Linked DNA regions of Tribolium castaneum. The protein of the gene in region 2 purifies or fractionates together with the protein of the main gene of each other region. This does not show direct contact. Links are inferred from orthologs where the notes say so. Each region holds a gene or a part of one and is shown on either strand. Other genes may lie near its edges. The genes, in order: g and E3 ubiquitin-protein ligase Godzilla.

Region 1 (3,926 bases), on a different chromosome or scaffold from region 2:
GTCTTTGTGGGCTTGGACGCTTTTTGGGTGCGTTTTGAGGATTTTTGACATCGCCAAAAGGCCCAAATATTTCACTGGAAGTCGGTTGTTAAGGCGCTGATTACGAATTAATGGAGCGAGTGACGTGATTATTGTTAAAATAATTTAAGAAAAAAAAAACACATGACTCGCCCCACGCTAAACTTACAATTCTGGTCGGAATCTTCAATCAAAATCCGCAGTTTTTGGACACAGAGTTGTATGCTAGCGGCGTGATTGGGCATTCCTGACGATATTGTTATCAAAACTGCTATAACCGTATTTATACACTCATATAAGAGACTCATTGCCGAAGTGCTACAATAATTAAAACAATTATGATAAAACAAAGGGCGCAACCCTACCTGTGTATGAGATTAGTCAAAGGCTCAATCAACTTTTGACCTAGCCTAGGTTCAAGAGGCGTTAAAGCACCGAACTAAAATAAAAAGCGTTGTTTTCTTTATCAAAGGACCTAATCCAGTTAATTTAAAAAAAATACGGAGAACTATATGCTAGGAGGCGAAACGAGATACAAAATAATTCGACTTTTTTTGTACCCAAAAATATATTAATTACTTTTATTATTTATTCATTACTACTGTCTAAAATTTTCAAGATAAATATGAGAAAAAGCATTTTCCAAATCTTTCAAATTCTTCTAATCTTAGACTACAATTTTTTTTAAAGAATATTTAATTCTCTACAACTTAGTTCCTTACCTTTTTTATATCTTCAACCTTATTTATAAGAGCGTATTAGAAATAGGGAGTAAAGGGGTAAAAGTACTATATCTTCTATATTTCAAAAAATAATTAGTAATCGAAGATAAGACTGGTCTGTAACGCAATTCTCCTTTAAATAAAATTAGTATAAAAAGATTTAAACGCACTACTTTCAGTTTTTTCCTATAATATAGACTTTTTTCAAATATTTTTTTCTTTTCTCAAAATTTTTTTTTTGTTTTTTATGTGTGTGCATATAAAATAAAAAAAAGATTGAAAACTACCAGGGAATCCTCAGAGAATTTTTTATTCCTATAAGGGGCTGAAAAATATAACATGTCTTTTCAATTTTTTTTATTCTCCCTTAGATTTTTGGTAAAAAATCTTAGCACAGTATCGATAGACATGAAAGGTTTCTTCAAGAAATATTACACATATAGATAAGTAACGATATTATAGGAAATAGTCAAAAGATCGTCAGATGCAATGATAGCATACTTTAAAATAGCATACGTTAAAACTTTAATGAAAAATATGAAAAAGAAAAAAAATAAAAAATGCTATAGTCAATTTTTTAAATGATTTATAGAGGTTTGGAACAAATTATACCATTAGTTATAAATTATTGTCCCAATTATTAACTTTACAGTTATAGTTTTAAGTAAAATCAACGATTTAAAAAAAGTTATTTTTTGAAGAGCAGTATAATAAGCTTTTACTACTATTAAATACTTTATTTTTTCTGTATACTTGTAATTTTTTTCAAAATTTGTCTATAATAGTTATTCTTTATAATCAAAAATAATTATTTAATACTGAGTCGCTGAATATATATTTTTTTTAATTATTTGTAATGAGTAATGAATTAGTTTGATATTCTTTTACTAAAGAACAGTTAGCTTTACGGCATAAAAATAACAATAAAAATACGTCAGTCAAATATTTTTCAGTTACATTTAGTTGCCATTCACTCAATTTAATTTATTTTATTTTATTAAAAAATTTAATTATTAATTTATAATCGCAAATTTAAAAAATTATTCCGATCAAGTCTGTGCTACACAATATATTTTTTAATATTGCGCCATCTGCCGTCGGTGATGGAACTCCCAAAAACGGGGACATTTTATTCGTACATCGTCCCGCATCCTAGTATTTAGTTGTCCGTAGTCAAAAAAATACGAACTACTTACCAGTTTGATTATTTTAATTAGCATCCAATTATTGGTGCTTGTGGTCATTAATTTGAAAAAAACTGGGGCCAGACTTAGATAATTTTTGGGGTTTTTTCGTGCCAGTTCACACACAACATTGACTGCAGCCGACTGAACCCCCGGATCGGGGTCCTCTAACTTTTCTTTTAGTTTAGGAAAGGCAGGACGTAGGGCTTCGGGATATTTGAGGAACACTTTATACATCATTAGAACGGCTTTTTTCCGAATGTAGGGTTTAGTGGAACTTAACTAAAAGCAACAATTAGTTGTGTTTGATTAAATGACTTGGGTAGTTACAAGAGTTAAAATATCGTTTGAAAGGTCTCTGGCCAAGTCAGTGCTGATGTAACAGCTGAGGGACGTCAAGGCCAGCCCCGATTCGTACTGATTTTGCGAGTTTAACTCCTTCCTAATCATATTAGTGGTCAACATGAGCAACTAAAATCCCAATTAATCAACGTTTTAATCGGACTTAATTACCCCACCTCTGAATCACAATGAAACGATTGACTAGCCGCGAGATAACCGATCCGTTTCAGCGTAAATTTACTCGAACTCATCACTTCGATTATGTTAAAGCCGGCCCACGAAATATCGTACCCCAGCATTTGCAACTAAAAACCACAATCAATCGAAATCATTTACCAAATCACTCACATAAGTCAATTTCGCGATTGCGTTACTCTTAACTGAGAGATTATCCTGTCGCAGCTCCTGCTTGATATCCTCCATGCATTGCGAGATGTACTTCGCCTACAATCAAGGGGGCAACTAACATAACCTCGTTTTTTGCACAAACCTCATTCTCCTTATTATTGCGGATCCCGCGGACCAAATCGGTCAAATTCTTGTCGAACATGCGTTCAATGTTCCCTTTAACCTTCTTTAAGGCCATTTTGCGTAAAAAACTGACTAAATCAAATCAGGGGGCGACACAGCCACCCGACCAGTTTGTTCGAATTGGGGCAATAGTTCCGCACAGAATCGCCCGAATTTCAGTTCTTTCATATCACAGGATGTTTTAAAGGGGCGCTCGAGCGTTCGCCCCAGTTTTTTACTTTTCGTAGCCACGTTGACAACTGACAAGTTAATGACAGATGACAGTGGCGGCTCGTCAAAATAACACACAATAAACGCGTTCCTAGCCCTTGACGAGTCGTATAATTGATCAAAACTGGTGATTTTATCCCTGGGGGAGGTTCACCGACCGGTTGTTACCCCCAAAACTGTTTTTTACCAAATGTGGTGACATAACCTCAAAAAATGTTGCATAACGTGGGGGCGAAAATAAACGAGTTTTTGAATAAACGTTCGGTGAAATATGGTTTGCCGTTTCTTCTTGTGGTTTTGGGGGGTTCGTTCGGGCTCCGTGAATTTGCACAGTTGAGGTATCAGTTTTCACGAGTCTCCAGTGTTAAGCCCGAAGAAATGAAGAAATTGGGGATTGAAATGAAGAAACCGGGCGAAGTCACGCTCGAGTCGGAGTACGAGAAGATCAAGAAGATTGATATCGATAATTGGGAGCAGGTCAGGGGGCCCCGGCCGTGGGAGGAGCAGACAACGCAATAACTTAACTATTAGTTTGTAAATAATAAAAAGCGATTGGATGTTCATATATTTTTATTCCCATGCACATATTCCATGTAACACTTTAATAAGACACCTTAGGATATTACAAATGACACACTTATTAAAAGTTTCGTCAAAATATTGCTTCACAAATTGCAATAAAGAGCTTTATTACCGACAACCTCCCTCGGGACGGTCTCTCAATCAATTCTAAAATGATAATATTGTCAAGTAATTGACACAATTCCCTAAAACTACATAATTGCTTATCAAGGGTCGTGGCGTTATTGTCAATCAGGGGGCCACTTATTTACAAAAATAATTGTTCTTGTCGGTAATAAAATAAAGTTTAAAATGTGTCTACCTATGACATTGAATGTTTAAAAATCGTGTTCCGTGT
Region 2 (3,926 bases):
ATTCATGTGCATACGGGGGCCGTAAGTGTTGAAAATGCGGGCCACCCGCACCTGCATGTTTTCCTGCTTGGCATAAGCATAAGTTAAAGTCTCTGAGACTCGTTTGCCTTCGTCGTAACACGCGCGAGGGCCTACAAACTGCAAAAGTAACAAAGGGGAAAAACGACACCGTCGCCAACCTATGGGATTGACATGTCCCCAGTACGTCTCGGGCTGGGGGTGGATGTCGGGGTCTCCGTACACTTCCGAAGTGCTGGCGATTAGAATTTTGGCGTTCAGTCTTCTGGCAAGGCCTAGCATGTTAATTGTACCTAAAGTGTTAGTTTTGATGGTTTTGACCGGGTTGTACATGTAATGGGGGGGACTAGCGGGGCTTGCGAGATGGTAGATCTCGTCGACTTCAATAAATAAAGGATTGACTATGTCGTGGTGAATTAATTCGAAATTCTCGTGACCTATCCAGTGCTCGACGTTGCGCTTCCGCCCCGTGAAAAAATTATCAGCGACGATGACTTCATGACCTTGCAGCATTAATCTATCAACTAGGTGTGACCCCACGAAACCGGCACCGCCAGTTATCTACAAAACGTTTTTACTCTTCATTGACAGTCCCGGGGGGCACTTTGTACCAAAATACGTTTTCGCGAGAGGTAGTTTAGGAACTTAACTTCGGGGTACGTCTTGGGCACCCTTGCCTCAAGAGCTAGGATTTTATTTTCCAAGTCTTGAATTCGCTCGGACGCTTCTTGCAGAAGGTGCTTGTTGTACTCAAGCTCGTCCTGATACAGGTGCAAATTGTGCACATTTTCGGCCGACCTTTGCCGGCTGTATTTAATAAAAACCAACAACACTGCAACAACCCAACATAACCTATAAAACAAGCGACAATTTATTTCCCTTACAAATCGATAAGGACGCTAGTAGTACAAGCAAGTGTTTGATTTTCCAAGTAACCTGAATCATGTTACGCAACGATATCGCATTTTTTATCCATTAAAAACGCCTAATTGGGTTTAAAATTGACAATCACTGACGACACATCGTGTGATTGGCACGCCTGTGTGTCAGCTGTGCCACCAGAAATGTCAAAAAATCGTTTCTCAAAAGTGCTGCTGTTTATTTTTTGAAGTTTTTTCCCGATTACGGGCGCTAATCCGGTTAACAGTGATCGAATCGCCCCGAGGCCGATGCCCCCCGGCGCCCACCCCAAAGCCCCCGCATGTCGCTCGAGTAAAGTGCGTTAATTATTTTATTTACAAAGACGTAATTTGAAGGTTGACTGTTTGACATATTAATTAAGCATCCTACAATAACAATATCGGATTGCTCATTATCTCCGTAAATTCCCTCATTATTATGATAAAATCGAGCCAAGAGCCCGTTTAGGGGTGGCTGTTTTGACCAAATCAAACTTTACTTAGTGATAAATTATGTGATAGTTGGATTTTTATACAAATAACATGAAGAAACCGGAGTTAATCTGCCTGCTGTGCGTGCTCCAGTACACCTCGGCCGAAATCTACGCTATACGATTCGTAAGTCTTCCAAAAAAGCCAATAGTAACTCATCATTTCGCTTTTAAGGACTCGCAGTTCTACTTTGACGAATTCGAGGATGTCCCTGCCAGTTTTGGGAAGAAATTGTCAGATGGAGGTAAACACTATCAATCAGCACTAGGTCATAAGATTGCGTATCTTATCACAAGCGTAAATTAAACGCTGTAAACTTTAATGCGTGTTTACACAACCGTTCAATTTTTGGAAAAAACAAGCGGTTATGCAACACGTTATGCATTTCTATGGCCCATTACTTTATTTATTACCATTTGGACAATACGTAATGAATGCTTTGCAGCGGTTGAAAAATTCTATTAGTCACAGCTTTGATTATTTTTTGCCTTGTGGGAGTGTAAATCCACGGTGTCATCATGTCTATATTTAATTTTTTGCTCAATAATAGATAAATGTATCAAAATAATACAAAATTACTTGGTTTGTTTATTACATACGTTTATTATCTAACAACGCAACATAATCGTTGCACGAAATTTGAAAAAATTGCCGTCTAAAATAACGATAGAAAATTTCAGACACACAGAAAATTCGCTCCCAATTATTCATAGCAGTATTCAATAAAAAATACTTATAATAATTATCTACATTAATTTTAAAAGTTACAACGGTAACTACTTCACAAAGATAGAGCAGTGTTGGACAACCTGAGTCCTGAAAACAGCCCAGGTTCAAAATGCCCAAGGGCAGAAAATTTTTTTAGGGTTGTTATTTTATGACTAAGGCGAAAAGTAATTTTCGCTTAGTTCGGTTTGTTTCGTTCGAAAAACTCAGTTTGGCCGAATTCGGTTCATCTCCGATAGCGAGTAAATAACGTAATCGCAGCTTTGGGGTCACTTGATAGCTGCCCGAGTACCAATTTCGACTTTTTCACGCCAGTCTTTTGTTCGTTTGTGTTCAGTGGTTCGCGGCGTCTTGGTGAACGCCGACCCTCCTGACGGCTGCACCAGCGCCCTGAAGCCGCCCCCCAAAGACGTGGAGAACGAGACGGGGCGATGGATCGTGCTGATGCCGCGCTATAACGACGTTTTGAATTGTTCTTTCGAGCAAAAGGTCCGCATGGGTCAGGGGGCTGGTTACGACGCCGTCGTGGTCCACAATGTCCACTCGAACCAGCTGGTTCCAATGTCGGCGAAAAACGACACCGGAATTAACATTCCTTCAGTATTTGTGAGCGAATCTTCCGGCTCGACGCTGAAATCGATCTACGCCAATCCGCAATATTTCATCGTGATCACCGGGGAATCACCGTTTAATATTCAGACGCATCTCCTGATCCCGTTTGCGATTGTCGTGGGGATTTGTTTTATCGTAATGATTATCTTTCTGGTGGTGAAGTGTATTAAAGACAGGAGGAGGCAGAGGAGACATCGCTTGCCCACGTCCACGCTTAATAAAATTCCGATTTGTAAATACCAAAAGGGGGATCCGTACGAGACGTGCGCCATTTGTCTTGATGACTACATCGAGGGCGAGAAGCTCAGAGTTCTTCCATGCAATCACGGTAATTTTTTCTGACTTTGTATTAAAGTGTCTGTTGTTTGTCGTCTTTTACATTGACTTGACTTAACAGTAGCCAAATAAATTACTGTCAAAGTGTTACTTTTATCGTAATCATTGGCTGATATTGTTTTTTGGCGTTTAAAATTTTTCATACTCTCAACAGTAACGAAATGTGCGACAAAGACAAGTATTACCAAAATTATTATTCTGTTTTTAACGGTTTTTGTAATCTGTTTAATTCGAAAAATAGAATTGATTAGACGTTTAGAATTTGCGCCAGCGGAATAATTTTTCTAACAAAAAAAAATTAAAATTTGTCTAAATACATACTCCCTCTTCCAAGAAAAAGCTCAAGCAAAACTGAAAAATCACAGAATTCTGCACTTTATTATTAAAAAATAACTTTTGTTGTGTACTACTCATTTGTAAATTTCTTTCCGAATTTTTTCTACAATTTTTTATAATACTATAATTAGAAGTATGTACGAGTATTAATTAATTAATACTAATTCGCTGCACTCTAAAAAAATTTTTTGATTGATCCATTTTTTTTCGAGAATTTTGAATGAAAAAATTTGTTCGCAATCATAAAAACACTGACTGACGTAATTTCAAATTCACTGGTTAGAAATCTAGTCGATAAAACAAACGGTGTTTAAATGTTGTTTTTTGCAAACAAAACGTAAAATAATAATTAATTCATTAAAACTAATTTAAAATAATTATAATTTTTTACGAATGTCACGTATTTGTTGTACAAAATATTATTTAAGCATCACTTGTTTGAAAATAATAATAATAATAAAGGGCTTTTATTAAATAAAATTAACAATAATAAAAAAATGAGAAGGA

What was found.
Region 1: the proteins of E3 ubiquitin-protein ligase Godzilla (region 2) and g purify together in Homo sapiens (affinity purification with mass spectrometry; 3 studies listed by BioGRID and IntAct, counting the BioPlex papers as one, with this or other methods). This does not show direct contact. The link is inferred for Tribolium castaneum from reciprocal best matches to the Homo sapiens genes RNF13 and AP3D1.

What each region holds. Positions count from the first base shown.
Region 1 is NC_087401.1:15,047,195-15,051,120, reverse strand, and holds the start of g (AP-3 complex subunit delta), read right to left. Parts: upstream 2,897-3,926; 5' UTR 2,853-2,896; coding exon 2,757-2,852; intron 2,711-2,756; coding exon 2,615-2,710; intron 2,572-2,614; coding exon 2,443-2,571; intron 2,396-2,442; coding exon 2,255-2,395; intron 2,207-2,254; coding exon 1,937-2,206; intron 458-1,936; coding exon 384-457; intron 337-383; coding exon 188-336; intron 75-187; coding exon 1-74. Other genes in the region: l(3)neo43 (cytochrome c oxidase assembly protein COX16 homolog, mitochondrial), read left to right, coding at 3,221-3,526. UniProt on the Homo sapiens protein: Part of the AP-3 complex, an adaptor-related complex which is not clathrin-associated. The complex is associated with the Golgi region as well as more peripheral structures.
Region 2 is NC_087398.1:4,233,500-4,237,425, reverse strand, and holds the start of E3 ubiquitin-protein ligase Godzilla, read left to right. Parts: upstream 1-1,394; 5' UTR 1,395-1,460; coding exon 1,461-1,535; intron 1,536-1,583; coding exon 1,584-1,653; intron 1,654-2,472; coding exon 2,473-3,075; intron 3,076-3,926. Other genes in the region: Uxs (UDP-glucuronic acid decarboxylase 1), read right to left, coding at 1-131, 180-579, 630-850, 903-963. UniProt on the Homo sapiens protein: E3 ubiquitin-protein ligase that regulates cell proliferation. Involved in apoptosis regulation. Mediates ER stress-induced activation of JNK signaling pathway and apoptosis by promoting ERN1 activation and splicing of XBP1 mRNA.